2 linked regions of the Diceros bicornis minor genome follow. The protein of the gene in region 1 interacts with the protein of each later gene in a biochemical or structural test. Links are inferred from orthologs where the notes say so. Each region holds a gene or a part of one and is shown on either strand. Other genes may lie near its edges. The genes, in order: SATB1 and PIAS1.

What was found.
Region 2: the proteins of SATB1 (region 1) and PIAS1 form a complex in vitro, tested with the Homo sapiens proteins (2 studies listed by BioGRID, with this or other methods). The link is inferred for Diceros bicornis minor from reciprocal best matches to the Homo sapiens genes SATB1 and PIAS1.

The regions. Positions count from the first base shown.
Region 1 is NC_080741.1:24,480,420-24,491,106, forward strand, and holds the start of SATB1 (DNA-binding protein SATB1), read right to left. Parts: upstream 4,405-10,687; 5' UTR 4,208-4,404; intron 1-4,207. UniProt on the Homo sapiens protein: Crucial silencing factor contributing to the initiation of X inactivation mediated by Xist RNA that occurs during embryogenesis and in lymphoma.
Region 2 is NC_080744.1:61,952,745-61,963,617, reverse strand, and holds the start of PIAS1 (E3 SUMO-protein ligase PIAS1), read right to left. Parts: upstream 5,353-10,873; 5' UTR 4,854-5,352; coding exon 4,821-4,853; intron 1-4,820. UniProt on the Homo sapiens protein: Functions as an E3-type small ubiquitin-like modifier (SUMO) ligase, stabilizing the interaction between UBE2I and the substrate, and as a SUMO-tethering factor. Catalyzes sumoylation of various proteins, such as CEBPB, MRE11, MTA1, PTK2 and PML.

The sequences.
Region 1 (10,687 bases):
ACCAGGAAGAGTCTGAAGCCCTGGATTATAGTACAGGTAGATATTAAAATGGAGACAGAGCCGTTATTTAGTGGTGACAGGAATATAAATACGTGCACTAACCTATAAACTGGTATTTACTTCAGGAAGGTAAGTAATATTTTTCCTCTGATTGCTGAGCTGTCAGCTTAATGCAGCGTAAATAAACAGTAGGTGCCTGCTAGCTCGAAGTAGGAAGTGTTCATTCCACACGAGGAACAGATTACTGAAGCCTGATGCTCATCATGCTGAAACATAACTTTCATTTTACCAGAAAATACACCCTACCGTGGATGATTTTTCGTGCCTGATCTATTAATTAACTTAACTCTGTTCTGTCAAAATGTAAACCAATTCAATAAAATCATCCCAGAGTTTCCGAGTTTCAAAACCAAATCAATTTGAAAAGCAAGAGTAATGACTGTTCTGTAATCTGATCATAAATGCTAAAAATGAATACTTAATGTAAGAAGCATAAACTCTACAAAACCAAAAGACAAAGAACATATTTAAATATAGAATTTAATAATCTGAGTTACTGAATTTACTCAAAATCCTCCTCCTTTGCTAATTAAAAGCAACTGGCACCTTTAATATTTTGCAACCTTGTGCTGCTCAGGTCTGTTCAATATGTATGCTTATTCTGCTCTCTGAAATACCTAAAGGTAAACCATTCATAAAAATCAAATCACACTCTTGAACTCTAATAGAAATATTACTGAACTCTCCCGAGAGAAGTGGCAAGTTTGAACATCAAATGATGATACCATTCCTAACAGCGTTCATGTAAAATGTGGTTTTCTTCCCATTTTCCATATACCACAAAGCTATGACGGTATAGAGCAACTAATTTTCTCCTTATATAGAAGTACCAAGGAAAATATTTCATGGCGTCATTTAAAATGGGAACTCACCTTATCTAAAAACTATAAAAGGTAATTTGGGGAGGTTTCTATTTAAAATATGAACAAATTCTGATAAGTCATCAATGGATTATAAAGGAAACAGAGGAGTTTAAGAAATATGTTTGCATTCAGCTACAACATGTCTAGACAGTCTGAAGATTGATTCAGTCATATGCATTTATTTTACATACTTCATCAATCCCAGTACTAATACAATATTAGAGTCATCCAAAACGACACGTCTTGGACGAAATGATGGTTTGTGTAAAGGGCATATCTATGTATGGCCCTTCTGGAAATTTACAGAGCAGATGAAAAACCACTAGAGTGCTTTATAGAGTCCCTGCTGTATATCCATGTTGTGTTTAGCTTAATAGTGTTTGTAACCAAAAGATTTTTACAATAATGAGGAACAGGTGGCTGTCACCTGAACTTTTAGGCCTAATTTACAATCCACAACCTGTCACATGAAAAAATAATTGAAAATCTCCTCCAGATATTTCAGTCTTTGCTAACTTAATGTAATCTTTCTTAACCATCACTCAGCATATCATATCTTATTCAATCGCAGGTTCATATAGCTGGCAACAGACTTCCTTGCAGAAATCAACCAACATTCATTTTGTTGTTGTTCTTGTTTAAGATGCTGTGAGACAAAAGAACTACTTTTGTAGATTATCAACCAAAGAATATATTAATTTATTACAACAACTGAACAAAAGGCATTCCTTTTGAATACTTTTATATACAAAGCACTATTATTTATTACATATTTCAGCTTGTGGGAAAATGAGGAATGCATTGATTCTGGAAATAACTATTCAGACTTTTCTAAGTTCTTTAGGTCTTCTCTATCTCTTTTTTCCCCTTCCCCTTGCCCCGCACCCCCATCCCCCACACATTTTAAGGCACTAGTTACTTTAGGAGGGAAATCCCTATTTGTTGTTTTTTCATCCATCATTTGTATTCATTATTCAGAAAGGAATACAAAATTGAGCAGTGATTTTTATTTCTCTTGTATAATCTCGTTACATGTAGCCATACTCAAATTTAACAATGCTTTGTATTTTATAGCTACTGTTTACATATTATGTATTACATATGACCGAACAACTCTACATTTAAAATATTGTTTCCATTAGAAAAAATATGAAGTAATAAGTGTCAAATGGAGATGAAGAATAAACATGCTTGGTATATTTACAAAATGTATAGTCATTTAAAATGTGCACAAATAGGATACATATTTTGCTACTGTTCCATTTTACATAGTATGCACATTGTCTAAAGTGTATTTAATAATGTGCCTAACCAAGTTAATTAAAGTATTTATGTCTGGTGATTGTGTTAAACACTTGGAGAGGTAGTGAAAGATACAGCCAGTTACTTCTGCTAACTAAAGTTGAAATTATGCACTTATTATAACCTTTTCTAACAATGTGAGAAAAACACAGTAAATATATTAAATTTGTTTCACAACAGATGCTTAGGTTGTTAATATTTAAGATGCCTATTCATGCTATTCCTGTCTGCACATTTGTCAAAAATGTAAGCTTGAATGCTAATGTTTGCCAGCAGACTGGAGCAGCCAGTATATGAATGTACTACTGTTCTACTAAAATAATACGCATAGAAATAAAGGACCGCTGCTAAATCGTAGCACTGGTACCACACAACAGATTAAAGGTTTTTAGAGCAAACACCTCAACCTTGGCTTTCTTCCGTCTTAAAGTACGGGTTTTTTGCAGCTACGTTTGACTATAGAATAAATCTTACATTCCTGACATCTCAGGAAAATCCACTTTAGATAAGGTGTAAATTTCAATAAAGTTTCAACGGGATGAGTTACTCCATCAGCAGCACAAACACTGTAGATTCAGGGACTACTTAGGACAAACCTGACACTGAGCAGTAGCGTTTGACTCATTCTTACCCCCTCCTTCTCTTCTTGGGAAAGTCAGGTCCCCTGGCCTCCAGGAACGCAAGCATGGAACCCCAGCCAGGGCAGAAAGGTTCTCTCCTGAGAATAAGACGTCTTTCTGTTTTCCCTTCTCTTTTACTATCATGGGAGTCCAAGTCTTAAAACATTTGCCTGGAAATCCGGAACGCCGCCGAGAAAGTTCGCGGAGGAAGGGCGCAAAGGTCAAAGTTGCCAACCAGGGTACTTAGAGAGGCGATCCTGTGGTTGGCACTTGTAAATGAAATTTGCAACGCCCTGGTGGAGGTCCGGGCCAAAGCCTCTAGCTAGAGCCCTAAGCCCCTCTCCGTCTCCTGAGGTCATCCCAAGAGTCCCGCTCAGTGCCCTTCCCCGGTACACGCGTGTCACTCCCCGGACCTGCCACCTGCCTGCTTCGTCCCTGTCATCGTGGTTGCCCAAACCCACGCTCTGCCGCCCCGGGAGACTCAGTGGAGCGCTCGGAGAAGGCCGCCGCGCTCGGGTCGGGACTGCAGGAGGGAGACACGGTGTGGACTCCGAGGCCGCACCTGTGATGTTTCGGTCCCTGCAAAGAGGGCAGCACCTCTTCCCGCCTCCAGCCCAACTCATAACCTCCAAGCACGCCAGGAACCCCTTCTGGACCTCACTACAGCCGGCGAGGGCTCGAAACGCGGAGTCCCGCGGCTTTCAAACTCCCGGCTCCAACTTGAGCGCCCCGGCGCCCGAGTGCCTCCCAGGATGGAGAAGTTGCCGCAAACTTCCCAGGCCCCTCTCCACCACCGCTCCCAACCAGCCGCGCCAGTGGGGGGGCGGAGGAAGGCGGAGATGGACCGAGGAAGGATGCTGAGCTCACTCGCGATCCGGCGGGGGAACGTTTCCACTCCCCCAGCCTACTCCGGCGGGCACCCTTCTGCCAGCCCGGCTCCGGGGAGCACAGAGAGGCTCTCCCTTTTCCCGTTTGCTGACTTCGGTCTTTTCCACTCCCCTTTTCTCTTCCAAAAGGAGTCACACTGATGACCTGAAGGAGTTTGTTCAGCCAGGGTCTGTCGGGCAGGTGTGTTAGTGTGTCCACACCCTGAGAGAGAACGAATGGCATCTTCAAGTTTCCCATCTCGGGTGCTCTTCCTCACTCTGCCGGCCCACCCCTCCGGGATCCGGCTGCGCGAGAAAGGGGCTCGGAAGACCCCTGCCGCCGGGCGCCCACGAGAGGAGAGCCGAGCCGCCCCAACAAGGGGCGCCGGGGGTGGGTGCTACAGAGAAGTTTGGATCGATTCCGGAAAAAGAGAGAGACAGAGATAAAAAGCAAGAGTGGGGGGGCGGAAAAGAGAGGCAAAAGAGCACAACTCACTCAGGCATGGGCGTTGGGGGCGGCGGTGGCTGTCGAGTGCGGGCCGGAGACCAGGAACGGCTCCCCGGGCGGGCGCGCCGGCGTCGGACTTCCGAGGCGGCGGCTTCTGCCTCTTGTGCCGCCGCCGCCGGAGCTGCGGCTGCCGCGGAAGTTAATTGCAACTTGACTTCAAGTTGTCTTCTTTCCCCATCCGAAGTGGGCGTTTAAAGGGGAGAGCGAGGCGAGGAGCGAGCGAGCGAGCGCGCGGGGCCGAGGGAAGGAAGAGAAGGGGGGGAGGGAGGAGATGTTAACAGGGGGGAGGGGGAGGGGGCGGCGGCGGGGGCGGGAGGGGGAAGGGGCCGGCGGGAGCTGCTCTCGGCTCGGCGGTCGCCGCGCCCGCAGTCTAGAGGCGCACCGGAGCGGCCGGGGCGCCCCCCGCGGGAGCCCGCAGCCGCCCGGGGCGCGCATCCAGCCGCGGCTCCTCGGGCCGGGCACGCTGCGCCCGGGGGCTCGGCGGACCCCGCGTCGCCGCCGCTTCGGAGCTTGTGCGGCGCGGGCTGGCCGGAGGGGCGGCGAGGGCCCAACCCGCCTCCCCAGCGCCCGCCCCGGCTTCTCCCCCTGGCGGTGGAGCCTCGGCGGCCGGCGGCACCACTAGGCGCGCTGGAGCCCGAGCCGAGCCGAGCCCGAGCCGCCGCCGCTGCCGCGCGCCGCTCCCAGGCTCCCTCCCAGCGCGCCGGCCGGGGCGTGGGGGGCGGCGGGCCGGAGAGACGAGGGCGGGCGGGGGACGCGCACTGGGATTGGCGCCGAAGACCGGACCCTCAGCTGCCAGGGGTAAGTGTGGGCGCCTGGGAGTGCGCCTGGGGGTGCGCGGCGCGGTTCTCGACGCTCGCCACCCTGCCCCCTCACCACTCCGGGGCCCCCACCGCGCGCACCCCTCCTCTTGCCGCCTGCGGCTTCCTCTTGTTGTTGGTTGTTTGGCTGAGCTTTTTTTTGGGGGGGGTGAGGGGGGGAAGTGGTGATTGTAGTGTGTGTGCCAGCGGAGGAGGAAGTCAGGTGAGAAGCCCCGATGCAGCCCCCCCCAACCAGCCTGCGTGGGATGTATCGCTCCCCACTAGGGGCATGTGGGCCAATTTTTTTCTCTTGTCATGTTCAGCCGAGATGATCTTTCCTAGAGGGCCTCCTTCCCTTACAGCCTGCCTTGTCCATGTCCTTTCACCCCACCCTCGCCCCTCTCAGCGCCCCATCCAGGAGCGCTGCATCCCAACGTGGCGGAAGGAGGAGGGGGCCCTCTTGCAGACCCTCACGCCGCACCCCTGCCCATTTAATATTTATCCTCCCATCAGCAGCTGTACTTCAACCCACTGGAAAAAAGACGCCTAAGCTGAGGTCCAATTTCTCCAAAAACCTGGAAGCAGAGACGGCGAGAGATAAGGATTTAATGATTGGGGGACTTGCAGAGGAGAAGGGGCCTGGGAACCTTCCCAAAAGGAGACTGAAACTCCAAAAACGTCTGCAAGATCAGAGTGACTGGAGGGTCAGCACCCCAGGCTCAGGAGAAGCTGGACCTAGGTCAATTTTGCCCCTCTCCTCCTACCATTCTTCCCCCAGCTCTAAGGTTGCTAACAGGTCTTTTGTTATGTGTTGTGTCGTTTTAAGGAAATTTGCATTGAGTATGACAACAGAAAATTACTACTGTTTACTCAAAGTTTAGGGGATTGCAGAAAGAAAAAACATAGTCATTACTTTTTTTCTTTGTGTGTGTGTGGAGTTGTTAGGTTCATGGCATGAACGGCAAAACCTCAGTAATAATAAGGACTGTAGAGCCGCCTCGGTATATTTTTAGAAGCTGCACTTTCTTGAGTTCCTTTCACACAAAGCTTGCTCTCTCATTAAGTCCCCATAAAGAATTGTATTTAGAGAGAAGGAAACTATGGAAGCAGGAGTGAGATTGCTAAGATCTCCATCCCGCCAGCGCAGAGTACTGTTTGCAGTGAAGTTCCTGGAAAGTGACTGTGGGCTGAGAATTCAGTTTTTCCTAAAAGCTCTGTTAGGTCCTCTTCTATCAGATGTCTATGAACAAAGTACAGCATGCTGGGAAAATCCTGTTATCCGTGCAGTCTTATTTTATCTTTTACACAGTGGCTGATTCTACTTTCAAGTTCTGGTAACAAACACATCAACTGTGCTGTATTTTTGTGCGGTTTTTCTAAATAAAGGAGAGTAGCACAGTGTAGTCATGCTGCTTTCTGACATGCCAGTTCTTTTCTATCAATCAGTATTGAATTTGCTGGAATTTATCCGTCTTTTTCAGTTGATTGTCATTTATGCAGAGACAACAATTCCAAAGACATAAGAATATAAGAAGTTTGTGAGTTAGTGTTTTTAGAGTACTAGCCCTGATTTTTAAGACTTAAGTGCCCACCTCAACTCCTGGTTCTATAAGGCAAAGGAAAAAAGTATAAATGATTGCAATGGGCAAAGAAAATGAAACACAAATTTTTCTTACTGGAACACTTTCTGCCTCCACACCACCCAGGAGACACCAAATCCTCCTGCCTTAATTTACCAAAATGCTGAATTGCCTAACCAGTACCAATATCTCCATCTGGGGATGACATCAGGTTTGGAACAGAAAGAATAAATTCTCAGTCTTTAATTACTACTGCTTATTAGCAATTTCTTGTAGCAGGCAGCTGATTCTCCAATTCTGAAAGCCTGAAATGAAGCTTAATAAAAATTGAAATACAGAAAAAGAATTATTTTTTCTCCCTTACACACTCTTACATACTCTTCTACTCCCCCAAGTTATCAACTAAGCCCCTAGAATTTAAGGTGTGATATGTTCCCCTGCATTAAATCAAGGGAACATTTTGCCCCAACCTTTTGAATTTGCTTTTTTCCCCCCTAACTGGTCTTATACAGAGAACTCATAGGTTCTATTATAATACAGAATTGTGTAATGGTGGGTACAGTACATTAAGTAACATATCTTGATAAACTCTTATGTAAACGTTGCCCCCTGGCGCATAGTAGGAATACATTAAATACTTACTGAATTAAGATGTTAATGAAATATTGTAATTGGCCACAAATTCAATAGTACAGGGCTAGGGCTTCTTTCAGAAGAAAAAGGCACTTTGCCGGAAAGTTATTAGGGTAATACATTTGTGCACCTAGATTTTTTTAACAAGTCGGAATCTAACTTACTAAAGACAAGTAAACCGGAAACATATCAGATGGTCACTAATAATAGCTAGTGTCAAAAGCTGATTATTTTCCTAGGAGAATAGACAATAAAGTATTGCCTACTAAATAGGATAAGAAAGATATAGAGGAAGGATAAAACAGCATTGGACTTTAAGGCACTTATTTGCTGGAAAAATGACATTAAAATGTGAAAAGACAACTCAATGGATCAGTAAATGATTTGAATCAAAGGAATACTTGAGGAAATAGATTTTTTTTCTCTTTTAGACCAGAGGAAATAGACATGCTGAAGCTCCAGGTTGGAGGGTATTTTTAAAGTTAATTTGTCCCGTCAAACCTTTTAGGGGCCGTCAGTGCAAACATCTTGGGTGAAGGAGAACTCACCACTTCCCTCCATAAAGGCAGGGATTTTATCTACAGAATACTTAGCACAGAGTAGAGTTCGATGTGCATTGTGGGAATGAATGAGTAAGATCCTAAGTAGTTCATTCCATCTTTGTACACTGTATTACCTTTTTTCTTAAATTGCACAGAACTGGTCTTTCTGAAACTTTTGACCACCAGTCTTAGTTCTGCCGTTTGCAGCAAAACAGAGGAAATCTGTTGTATTAGTCAGAATAGACTATGTTATGCCAAAGTGACAAACAATTCCGATTTTTAGTGGCCTGTAACAGCAAAAGTTGTTTTCCTGGTCATGCTATGAGTACATTGCAGGTCACCTGGTCTGTCCCATGTCTCCATATTCAGGGTCCTAGGCTGATGAAACAGTTGCCATCTTGAATGTTTTATGTTGCTATGGCAAAAATAAAGATCACTCTGTGGGTCTCATGCTGGCATTTAAATGCTGTGGGCAGAAGTGACATGCATCATTTGGGCTCACAACTAATTGGCCAGGACTAGTTGCCTGGCTCCATGGAATCGTCACAACGAGGCCAGATGGTGCAGCCTACCTTGTGCCCAAAAGTAGAGACCTGTGGTGCACAGCTCTAAGGACTACCATACTCGTAGTGACCCTTGTCCACATGATAGCCTCCAGCTACAGGATCTCTTCCTGCCGCTTTGTGCCCCAAATGTCCCATTCTTCAGGGTAAACACTGCCTGAGGGGCCACCAGCTTATAGGGAGATATAGCGTTATCTCCCTATAAGAGAGGGAGAAAGTAGTCACAAAGTGGCTTCTTTCACCACCTACTCTCTCTTTGAATACAGCACTGCAGTCCCAGCTCTCTCCCCCTAAAGTGTGGCACCCTATCAATTTTAAGTTACTCTTTGTATATTTACTTGTTTTCTGGAAAGGGTACAATGAACAGGAACTTTCAAGAACTATTATCTGAAGATGTCATGATCATTATCAAAATTTGAAATTTGGTTTGAGTAGTTACTTCCCTTATTTTAAGTGTCAAAATCTTATAACACAAATAAAAAATTCTTTTGGAAGTATTCATTCATCCAACTTTTTGTTCATTCAATAAATATTCATCATGTACCTACTAGAAGCCAGGCACTCTATTAAGAAGCCAGGCACTCCTTAATAGAGTGGAGATGATTAAGAGTTCTCCTCTGCAAGAAACACATTTTATGATTGGGCAGACAGAAAGAAAAAGTCATTGCAATTCTAATAAAGGCACAAAGTGCTATGGAAACACTTGGGAAGAAGCAAGTAACTCTGGTAGGATTTAGGAGAGTTCCATAGAGGAATTGAACTAACTCTTGAGGATAAGTGAGACTCCTCTAGACAGAAAAGGAAGATGGAGGGAGGATATTTCAAGCAGAGAAACCAGCATGAATAGAGGCATTGAGGAGGACAAAGCTTGTTGTTTAGAGGACTACAAGAATTTCAGTGTGGCTGGAACATGAGGTCTTTGCAAAGGATGAGACCAGAGAGCTCCACATTGTGAAGAACCTTGTAGACTTGCTCCAGAGTTTAGACGTTATCCCCTCCATCGGGGATTGCAAACTCTTATGTCTACCTTGGATATGTGAGCAAAGCAGACCAAGTTGAGACCATAAGCAGTGGTGGGGACTGGGACAACCTGGAGAGTATATTCTCTGTCTAAATGGGATACTCAATGCCAATGATGCCGAATGTTGGATCTTCAAGTTTTTAAAGAGAAGCTGCAAATTCAGTTTATATGAAAAATGGAAATATTAAATGTTGAGAACTTATTCACATTTTAAAGTACTTGTGTGTAGGAGGGAAACATGTCTAGAGGTCAAAATCAGATTAAGGACCACTAGTCACTATCTGCTACATGAGACATGAGGAGTCTCATGTATGAGATAAGGAGTCAGTAAAGGTTGTAAGGATGGGCATAACCATCAAATCTCTTTAGAAAGATCACTCTGGTGGCAAAGTGGACAGGAAAAGTCTGGAGCCTGGGAGGCCATAGTTGGTACTCTGTAACCATTTGAGGGATGATGCAAAGCCCTTTATAACACTGCCCATTTTATAGGATACAGTTTTCCATGTATGTAGAAGGAGCCCGATAAATATTTGGAGAGCTAATGAATGAAGGAGAAGAAAGCTAAAGTTTTAGAAGAAGAGCACATTTTTCAAGTGCTCCTTATGCCGTATACTTCCTTTGCTAGACTGTTTATTTTTCAAGAGTACAATGATCTGATATTGATCATATATAATTTTTCTGTACCTGTCTATGATAAATATTATTGGTTTTTAAAATTGCATAAATCATTCAGTGCAGGACACAAAGATCAGCACAGCATCAGAATATCTATTGTCAAGGACTCAGCTTACTGATCCTGCCACATTATAAGGAATGCTGGCTAACGGATGGGTGTTGTACCAGGCCCTGAAACCCTGTACTCTCAGGCTCTGTAGAGTAGACTACAATAGACCCATTTGTATAGGCTTTCTAGTGAAAGCCAAACTCTTTATTACTACCCTTCAGAGTATATTATAGCTCAGTCTATCCCATATATATGTGCCTAAGACTGTCTTAACGATGTTTAATTTTTCAATTTTTTTTTGTGTGAGGAAGATCAGCCCTGAGCTAACATCTATTGCCAATCCTCCTCCTTTTTTTTCTCCTTTTTCTCCCCAAAGCCCCAGTAGATAGTTGTATGTCGTAGTTGCACATTCTTCTAGTTGCTGAATGTGGGACGTGGCCTCAGCATGGCCCGACAAGCGGTGCGTCAGTGCGCGCCCGGATCCAAAGCTGCCGCCAGTAGCAGAGCGCGCACACTTAACTGCTAAGCCACGGGGCTGGCCTCATAATTTTTTAATTTTTTAAAAAATTGAGGCCACTAAAGACTTATTCTTCCCAGCTCCTCTCTTG
Region 2 (10,873 bases), on another chromosome or scaffold:
GTACCTCACACACAGTTGGAACTCAAAACATATAATGAATGACAGAATGTGATAGATACTTCTTGAGTAAATAACAAATAATTACCAAGTACCTACCATAGGCTAGGCTCTGAGCTAGGTGCTTCTTATTCCCTTTCTTGGGTAACTTACAGAAGCCCCTAGACCAGAATGATGATTTTAACATATGAGAAAAATATTTATCCTGAAATCTTTCAGATCTTTTTTTAAGATTAGACCTACATGACTGTAAGAAAAAAGTCTTAAAATTCACCATAAAGCACAAGATAGCATGTTAAATTCTATTTTAAGCACCATGCCATGAAGCTAAAAACAGTCTTGCTCATATTCAGAAACCCAAATACAAAATGAATTGCTTTGGTTGTGCACTGCTGGAACCCTACAAAGAGCCTACATTCCATTTCTCCTCGAGCCAAATAACCCTTCCCTGTTACAGTTTTCATTCCTATTTTTAAGTGAAACTCCAATATTAATACTACAGTGATTACATTAAATGTGACAACTATTTTTTTTCAAAACAGTATAACAAAATCATCAAAACAAGTTAAGAACTTTCAGACATATACACTGATAAACTCAAGAGGTAAACCTCTACGAACATACATATGAGATATTTGCACTGTTAAAAAAGAATGAGACCATCTCATTTTGGGACATGTCATGGAAAGATCTCCAATATATACTGTTAAATGAAAAAAGCAAGTCAAAGAATACTACGTATAGTATGATCCCACTTCTGTTTTTAGAAAATATACTTACGTACATGTACATTCATTTAATAAATACTTATTGAGTTCCTTCTATGTACCTAGTTTGTTCTGAATCTAGACATACACGTACAAAAAATTACAAATATTATACAGATATACCTAACTGATAACCACAAATAGAAAAATGAATAGGTCAGACACACTAGGCTACATATTATATGATTCCATTTATATGAAACGTCCAAAACAGGCAAACCTACAGAGACAGAAAGTAGATTAACAGTTGCCTGAGGATGGGGTGGAGCTGTGGGCAAAGGGAGTGAAAGCTGAAGGGTGCAGGATTTCTTTTTGGGGTAAGAAAAATATTGTAAAATTGTCGTGGTAATGGTTGCACAACTTTGTGAATATATTAAAAACCATTTTATTGTGCATTTTAAATGTATGTGATGTAAATTATATCTCAATAAAGCTGTAATGCTGCCCCCCCCAAAAAAAGATACCAAAGTGTTTGCCTGGGGGGGGAGGGGATGAAGATGATGAAGGCCTTTAAAATTTTACTCTACCTACTGCTATATCATTCCAATAAGAAATGTATTCATTTATTATCTATATAACTTAAAGAAATGTAAAAGGTAAACCTAAAACAGTCTTTCATAAATTATCCTGGATTTAATATTATTCAAGTTTATCTAAGAAGCAGCCATGAAAAAAAGTGTGAGGATATGACCTTATCTCAGAACATTTACAATTTAGACTGTCATATAGACATGTGCACCTGCCCTTCACTAAGAGAAACAAACCCTGAACGTAATCTGTTCATTTGACAAATATATCTTAAGCACCTACTGTATCCACAGGGTAGGGACGGGGGAGAATGGAGTGGTGTACAAAGCAGAACACTAGTCAACCGAAAGAAGGAAACTAACAGCTCTGGTTTTAGTTAAGGACTTTTGCTATATGTATAGTGGAGGAGACAAAACACACACACAAAGTAGACTGGGGTTAGACTATAGAAAATCCTGAATACCAAACTAAGAGCTAAGACTTTATCCTGTTTTTGATGGAAAGCCATTGGAGTGACAGGATGAAAAGAATGTTTTAGGAAAATTAACCTGGCAACCAAAGGGGGGAAATTGAAAGCAGAGAAGAATAGCAGGAAAGGTAAGGAAGAGATGAAGTTTTTAAAAAATAGGAACATTTGCAACAGTCCTGTGAGAGTTATTGATATTTCAAAATTACTAGTTAATGTTCAAAGGGTTTATGTTTGTTTTGTTTGCTTGATCTAAGGTGAAGTAGAAAAGAAAAGAAGGTGGTTTTTTCATTTTGATGAATTTTAGAAGTTCATGCAAAGAATGAAGATTTACCAGAAAATTCTGAGGGGAAGAGGGGTTTGGGGAGTTATCTTTTCATGTGACACCACTGAAACCAAGAGGAGAGGGAATCAAAAGTAATAGGAGTTCCATAATTTTTAACATGGAAGGGAAAGTATAGTCACAAACGTCTTGCAGTGAGAGTAGCAAAATTGCACGGCAATTAGTACTACTCCTGAAATTGACAGTAAAGGCCAGCTAAATTCTTTAAAATTTCTCTATCCCCTATTTCAAAAAAAATCCTAATGGGGCCAGCCCGGTGGCATAGCGGTTAAGTCTGCATGCTCTGCTTCGGTAGCCCAGGGTTCACCAGTTTGAATCCTGGGCGTGGACCTACACCATTCGTCAAGCCATGCTACGGTGGCAACCCATATACAAAATAGAGGAAGACTGGCACAGACATTAGCTCAGCAACAATCTTTCTCCAAAAAAAAAAAAAAAAAAGACAATAAATAAATATACAAACTGTGTTCTAAAAAAAAAAAAAATCCTAATGATACAATTTGTTCCATAAATGCAAGTGTAGGTGAGGACCAAATTTAACATGTCAATGTCACACCCTTAATTTCATCAACTGTTCCTTCTACAGTGCAGTACTTTTCAGATGCTGCACAAATAATATCCTTAACTCAATTCACATATGCATTTATTAATTGATTTAATCCATAAAGCTTCCTTCTTGAAATAGAAGAATGTTTTCATTGCCTATGTAACCTCCATTCTATAAAAGCCTCCTCGAAACAATGTTACCTACCAAATACTATGGCAACACTTTGCTTTGAGATTAAAAATCTGAGTAAGGCAAATTCTCATATCCACTTTCTTCATATTAACATTCAGCAATGCTTTTTTCTTAACGCTAATTAAAAACAGATGAGCACATAAACTTGCAATATTTGTTACTGTGTTATAATTTCCAAAATCAAACATACTCAATATAAATTATACATGTTATTCTATAATATATTTCATACTTTATCAAATGTTCTGATTCAGAAGCAATGTTTACTTACATTTTATAAACTCTATCTCTGCCATAATTCAATAATCTTATCTGACAGGTTTATAGAAACTGAAACAATAAAGGTATAGACAATGAAGAAATAAAGAATTAACTTATTTCACTCACAACACTTCATGTAATCAAAATACCATTTGTATTGCTCTCTGAAGCACAAAAAAAGTTCTGTCATATCAATATATTTAGTTAGAATAAAACATTTGCTAACTTTTGTATCAGGCTGTTTGTCAAGAAACTGTTTAAAATAGCAAAAAAGTGGAAATCATCTAGTTGTTCAATGACAAGAGACTAGTTGAATAAAATACAATGTTACCTTTCAAATGATCATATAGACCTATATTTACTACCTGGAAAGGCAGCCAAGAAAATAGCAGATTACAAATAAAGAGTAGTATGATCCCTTTTTGTGATGAACATACATACACGTATGCTCACAGAGAGATGCTCACAGAGAGACAGTCTAAATGGACAGACACCCAGATGTTAACCATGAGATTTCTAAATGCTGGGATTACAGGTGCTGTTTATTTTTCTGCTTACTTCTCAGTATTCTCTGAAATCTTCCCAAGCAAAATTATATTTGCATGAATTAATGTCTATGATTCCAACTAACAAACTCCAAAATCTTCCTTGCAAAAAGCCCAAGGAATATCCAAAAATACCCTGGCATAGAGCAAGAGGGAAAGTATTAGCAACAACATAACTAGAATTCTTTGTGAGCAAGGCACCCTAGAGAGCTCCAGGACTGACAGGGCACCTTTAAGGCAGCCTACAGTACAAAGTTTTGAAATCACAAGACCTAGGTTTAAGTCTCTGCCACTTTTATTTATATGACCTTGGACAAGTCACTTACCCTTTCTGGGCTCACTGCATGGATAAAAAGGGAGATATTACCTGCCTTTTATACCTCAAAGAACTGTTAGGAAGACCAAATGAGATAATGTGATAGACTATGAACTGTCAAGTACTGTATAAATATTACTCAAATATTAAAAAAAGAAATAACAAGGTGCTTAATGCCACAGAATACTTCAGAAAACACTACAATCAATCCTATGAAGTAATCAGGAGTTTTGTTTGTTTTTAAAGGCTACATTCATCATAAACACCCAGTTTTTCAGAAACTTGAGATACTTCCTCTCAGTTCCCCCTACAACCACGAGCCATTTTATTTTCTTATCCCTAGTTACCAGCAAGAAAGGGCACAAATTACACTAAACTCAAAACTCTCAGCAAGAACCCTGGAGCAGCATGCTGATGGAGTTCACCAGGAGAAACCCAAGGTTAATCAGCTATGGCCTCACCACTCAGCACTACCGCAATCAACAGGGATTACAAGAGACTCTTTGAAGAGAAAGACAATACAATCAGCCAGAGAAAACGGCGGAGGAAAAGGCGGAATTTCCAAACAATTATATGAAATGCTTAAAAACTGTGTTTTATACAATGTTTTCAAATACTGTTCATAAGAATGGTGACTTAAAACAAAAGCCATCTAAATGTGGCACTTGACAAAAGCAAGTTATGGAGATTCAAATCAAATTTGTGAATAAATTGTCAGATTTACTTGCTTCTATCTGAAATAAAAGCAAACAATGACACCACAAAGAGCAAAATTAAGTGGCTATTTCTTGAAAATAAAGAGGCAGAATATGACAACAGAATTTACTGACACGCTTATAGATACTTTTAAAACTATACTTTTAAGCGGTTTCTCTTCCCATTGAAATCCATTATTTGCTCCACTGAAATGAAGAACTTCTTCCTTCCCACTCTTCCTCCTGTGAGTTAAAATGGCAATACAACTTGCTTTGAGTTTTAAAGCAAAAAACATTTGTGATTTTTTTTTAAAAAAGTACTTTAAGAGGAGCTACATGAAGCTGTCAGATTATTAACTTCCAAGATCATCTGGTCATCACACCCTCCTGCTTTTAAATTCCTAAACATAACAAAAAGTTCACTCTCTACATTCTTACAAATGTCATTTATGGGTATATAAACAAATATACACCGAGAACTCTTTTTGATATGCATGACTCTTAATCTAATTTTTATTGGCAATATCTTTAAGTGTTGCAGCTTGCACTAATACTACAGGGGATACAGATCTATCCATTTTCCCATCTGATCTTTGCAGATTTGTTATAGATTTACAAGGACTCAAAAATGGACCATGAGGAAAATAATTATGAATACAATCCACAGCAAAATGAAACATGGGTTGTGAATTAAGATACCAAAAAAGTCAATGTATTTATTCAAAGCCTCATAGTTGGAAATTCATTGGAAGTACCGTATTTTCACCTAAAACTTTAAAAAAATCTGGGTTTTTCTTAATTCTTACTCTTTTCCTACCTTATTAGGAATAAATGCTATTTACCTCCAAAAACCACAAACAAAAAACCACCAGAAAATACAATTTCCAAAAGCAGTATCTTCCAAAGCTTACTGCACAGAAAATTATATACACACATTCTCAAATAACTAAGGTAGGGGTTCCTAAGATGATCTCCCCACTCCAAAAAAAAGAACAGCAAATCTAACCACAATCAAGTATTAACAAAAATTTTAACACAGCTATCACCAGCTAAGCAATTTATCACACCTCCTCAAAGTACTGGGCACACACAATGACAGACCTGAATGTCAAAACAGTTATTATAATTTGAAAAAAATGTACAACAGGAACATAAAAGTAGAAAACAACTCCTCTGGAAAAACTCAAGTAGATTTTGGAAAGAGCAAAAAAGGAGACCAATTTTAGAAAAATAATCTTTCCCCCAAGTTCTTAGCGTTTATCTGATACAGGCTCATTTTAGCAAACAGAAACTTTACCTAACAAGACTCACACCAGGGATCTGATCTATCCCTAAAGGCACTTTCTTAAAATGAGAAAGAACAAAGGAAGAAATCTCCCAGCATGTGCTTTCCACATCAGTTTCTTTGGACAGCATCAAGAGTGACAATATAGCCAGCACAAGCTTTTCAGCTTTACTCTGTGGTCCCCGTATAACAGAACTGATTACCTATCATTCAAAAGGATGCCTAACAAAATAAATATTAGAAGGCAAAGATTACAGCCACATAGGGACTACATTTCAAGAATAAAACTATAGAAAACATGTATCTTAAAGTTGTGGACTTTTTTATTTCAAGAGTTAATTACCTGCCAATATTCAAATTCTTGAGGCTTTTTCACTTCGGTCACTAGTTTGAAACAGGAAAAAACGAAACCAACCATCCTAAATCTGCTCTCCCTTAAATTTATTTGTAATTAGCAGTAAATTTAAAAAGAACGACACTCAAAGCCAGCGCCTTAATATACAAATTGTGGAGTGTTAAAATTGCAAAATTACTGGGGGAAAACGATCTTTCAGCGACGCTTTCCACAGAAAAACTCTCCAGAAACAAACCTGGCGTTTGGTTATTCTAGAAGTTGTCGCTTCATTATAACGGAGAAAATTTTTTACACAATTTTTATTAATTATAAAAAGAGGACTCTCCCCGAAGATTTACAACTGTATATCCCAATCTCCACTCTGACAGAGATGTCAGTTCTCTGGGTCAGGACACAACCAGCTGCTTGGATCACACACAGGAAGCCACAGAGTAGGGAATATCGCATTCAGAGCCTCGAAATAATACGCGTTAGTTAAAAACTGCTTGCTACTAAACCAAAATTATTCAAGCGGAGCCCCATTTGTCACAATCCAATCACAAGGGTTCCACCCTCCTCCCCCAACTGCTTGTGTAGTGCTATATCTGCCTCGGTAAAGAAGCCATCATCAGGTAAAGAAGATTGGGGCGGGAGGATGAGCGGGGAAAAGGGGGCACCCTTTCATCCAATTTCGCGAGGCGTGAGTAATTGGCACAGTTGAGAGGAACGGAGGAACGTTCTATTTATTGGGGGTTGAAGTAGGATGACGGGAGAATTTCGTTCAAATCAACATGGCCAGCAAGATGTCCCCACAAACAAAAGGCAACGGGGGGATATAAACACGAACCATTCACCTCCATCAGCTACAGCATCGCCATCATGGTGTGTGCAGAGACCCCGACAGGCTCCTCTTACCCTCCGCACCAGCCAAAGGAAGAGAAGGAAAAGAGGAGAGAGGTAGGTGCTTCCCACCACCCACCACTGCTTCCCAACACACACCCTTCGAGGGGGTTTCTACCCCCCGCTTACCAAGAATCAGAGAGAAATAGTAACGTCCCGCCCAGGCACACCCCCCCGCTACCCCTCAGCCGAACCCCAACGCCGGCCCGAGGCTCACTAAACTTTCCCGGAGCTTCTCTTCACATCCCCACCCCATCGCCCCAGGATCGCGCTGCGCACAAGCGGGGCACCCCGGGCGCCTCCTGACAGGCAGGCAGCCGGGGAGAGCCGAGTCCGGGGCGGGGGCCGCAGGGAGCCACGGAGGGGCGGGGCGGCCGGAGCCAAGTTCCCGGGGGTCTGAGCCGAGCGCCTGACAGGAGCCCGGGACTGCAAAGGAGGAAGAGGAAGCGGCGGCGGGGAGCTTTCCCAATCCCCCCGACACGAACACCCTGCCCTAGCCCCCGCTCCCCATGGGGGGGCGGGGAGGCTGCCTAGAAGGTGAGCACGCCGAGACCCGGGGGCGGCCGCGGCCCCCACCTCCCCACTGGCGATCTCTTCCCCCGCCTCCCCCGCCAGAGGCGCCCACAACAATAACACGCCGGGGACGACCCGTCAGCGCCCCCGAGGCACCCGGGGCCCGCGGCCCGCCGCTGCCGGGCCCCCTCAGCTGGGGCCGGGCGCGCCGCTCCGCCCTACAACTCCAGGCCTGGATGGAGTCAAGCCCGAGCGGCCCCCCAGGGTCGGACCCATCCCCCTCGGCACCAGCGGCGCCGTCTCCGCGGCCGAATATTAGAAGTGAATTCGAGCTGCGCTTTACCTTTAGTTCCGCACTGTCCGCCATCTTGCGTCTGTCAGCGCAAGCGCAGTGAACCTCGCCGGGGGCCGCCGCTAGACCCGCCCCTCTAGCCAGCCTGGCCCCGCCCCGGCCCGTCCCCTCTCGCCCCTCCGCCTCCTCGGCCCGCCCCCGGCCTCCGCCTCGCTCCGGGCGCTCGGAGCCCCGCCCTGGGCACGTACAGCTGCGACACGGACACGTACTATTTAAATAATGGCGCCAAGCGGAGAGATTTGACAGTTACTCCCTCCTAGGCCTCCCCGCCCCCCATCCTCGCCCGGCTAGCGCCTCCAGGGAAAGGCCGGAGCGGGAGGGCTGCTGGCCTGAGCCCCGCCCCTCCGCAGGCACAGGGAACAATAATACGCCCTCCCCCAATCAGCAAGTCCTTTTCAGCACCTGCTACCTGCGAGGCTACACGTGGGCTAAAAATAACAATCAGTTACATTTAAGAATCACTTGATGAAGTATTTCCAGGTTTATTAGCTCAGATCCTCCTCATGACAACGCGGTGAGGTAGGCAGGGAAGAGACTACTGTTCCCGTGGTATATATTCAGGAATAAAGCTCAGAGAGGAAAAGTGACTTGCACAAGCAAGTACTTAACACGAGTGGCCTAAGACAAAATTCTGAAAACTTTCATTCATTAATTTCTTTGTTTCAAGTAATTATTTAGTGACTTTGTACCGGCCCTGTTTCTAAGGGCTATATATACACTGGGAAACTAAATACAACCAAGTCCTTGCCCTCCTGTAGTTCTGTAATGGGGGAACAGACACGCGAACCTATAAAGATACAGTTACAAAGGATGATGAGTACCTGAAAAGCATGAACCGTCCAGTGAGAGAAAAAGGGGCTGGGAGGAGATGTACTTAATCCTGAGAGAGCTTTCGCCTCTAAATTGACATTTAAGTAGACGTGATGAAAGAATTATTTGACACCTTTTCCTCTCTACTAAAAGCCTCCTATCTCCTCTCCAACCCCACTTTTTGCTCCTCAACTTTGCCTCATATCTCATGGAAAAAATTAAAAGATAACAGATAACATGAACTCCCTTATCTTCTCACCGTCAAAACTACTCTTATTGGCGTAGTAACATTTGAGTTACTATGAATGAAGTGTCCTTGTGCCTGTGAAGGTCAGTCCCTCCACCAGTGACCTGGATTCCTTTGCCTCCCACATTCCTAAGGATTTTACTCCTACAATTACCTCACCATCCAGCACCATTGCTTTCTCCCTTCTCTATTAGATTACTCCTATCAGTATATAAACATACTGTAATTCCTCCCATCTGAAACAAACCTCCCTTGACTTCAAAATCGCCTCCAGAACTCCCTATCTCTCTGCCCTCTTCACTGCATGAATTCTCAGAAAGGTTTTTCAAGATCTCTCTACAGTGCTTGTTCCCTTCCTCACTTCATTCACTTCTCAGCCTACTCTGATGCTATGACTTCCCTCTTGATCACTTATCAAGATTACTGTTGATCTCCATGTTTCCAAAGCCAATTGCCAGTTCTCTATTATCTAAACTAAACTCTCAGCAGAACTGACAAGCATCCTTTCTCTTAAAACACTTTTTTCCCTGAACTTCCCTCAACATCTCACTGTCCTGATTTTCCTGTCCCCTCGCTGGGCCTCCTTTTCAAAATCCTTTGCTGATTTCTCCTCTTTGGCTCAGTTTTTAAATGTTTCAGTGCTCCAGGGCTCAGTCCTTACCCTATTCTCTATTTTATTCTCCCCAGGTGATTTCATCCAACTCCTTGACTTTAAGTCTATAAACTGATGACTTTCAAATTTCCATCCAGCCCAGACATCTATCTCCACCACAACTCAGATTCATAAATCCAATGGCTACTTAATATCTCTACTTCATGACTCATAGTCATCTCAAACTCATCGTGTCAAAGACAGCCTTGATTTCCCCCCTAATCCTGCTCCTTTCCCAGTGTTCCCAGTGGATGGTACCATCATTCATCCAGTTGTTCAAGCCAAAAATCTGGAAATCATCCTTGGTTCCTCTCTTTCATTCACCTCTCTCGTCCAATCCATCAGCCAGTCCTCTGCCTCTAAAACATATCCCAAGCCTGTCCATTTCACTGGATCTCGACTGCCATCACCCTACCCCAAGCTGCCATAATTTCACAACTGGACTGCTGGGAAAGCTATTTAATTGATAGGATCACATTATGACTTTTGTGGCCCTAGGCACTTTTGCCTTCTAGGGACTTTGGTATAATAGAAAACATGATTTGACTTTGTCCCTGGTTCTTGGCACAGAGCTCCTAAAATCCTTGAAATTTCCTGAGTGGTAGGACTGTCTTTTGTTATTCATAATGAGTCCCTTTCCACCACAGCTGAGTTTATGCTAATGGAGTGACTCAGGGTGGGGCTCCTAGATAGCTTCAGGATGGGGCCTGGTCACTAGAAAGACCAAACGTGATTAAAGGGATGTCAGTGAAAACAGGGAAGTCCTGGGAGGGGAGTGCCAGAGAGAACATGGAAGCTCTGCATCCCCTCCCCCACCCCCACTCCCGGACCCCGTATTGTGCCCTATGCATCTCTTCCATTTGACTGTTCCTGAGTTGTTTCTTTTATAATAAACCAGCAAACATAAGTAAAGTGTTTTCCTGAGTTCTGTGAGTCATTCCAATGAATTATCGTACCTGAGGAAGGGATTGTAGGAATCCTCAAATTTGGTCAGTCAGAAGTACAAGTGACCCATGGGCCTGGTGACTGGTATCTGAAGTAGAGGTAGTCTTGTGGGACTGAGCCCTTAACTTAGGGGGTCTGAACTTACTCCTGGAGTTACTGTCAAAATTGACTTGTTGGA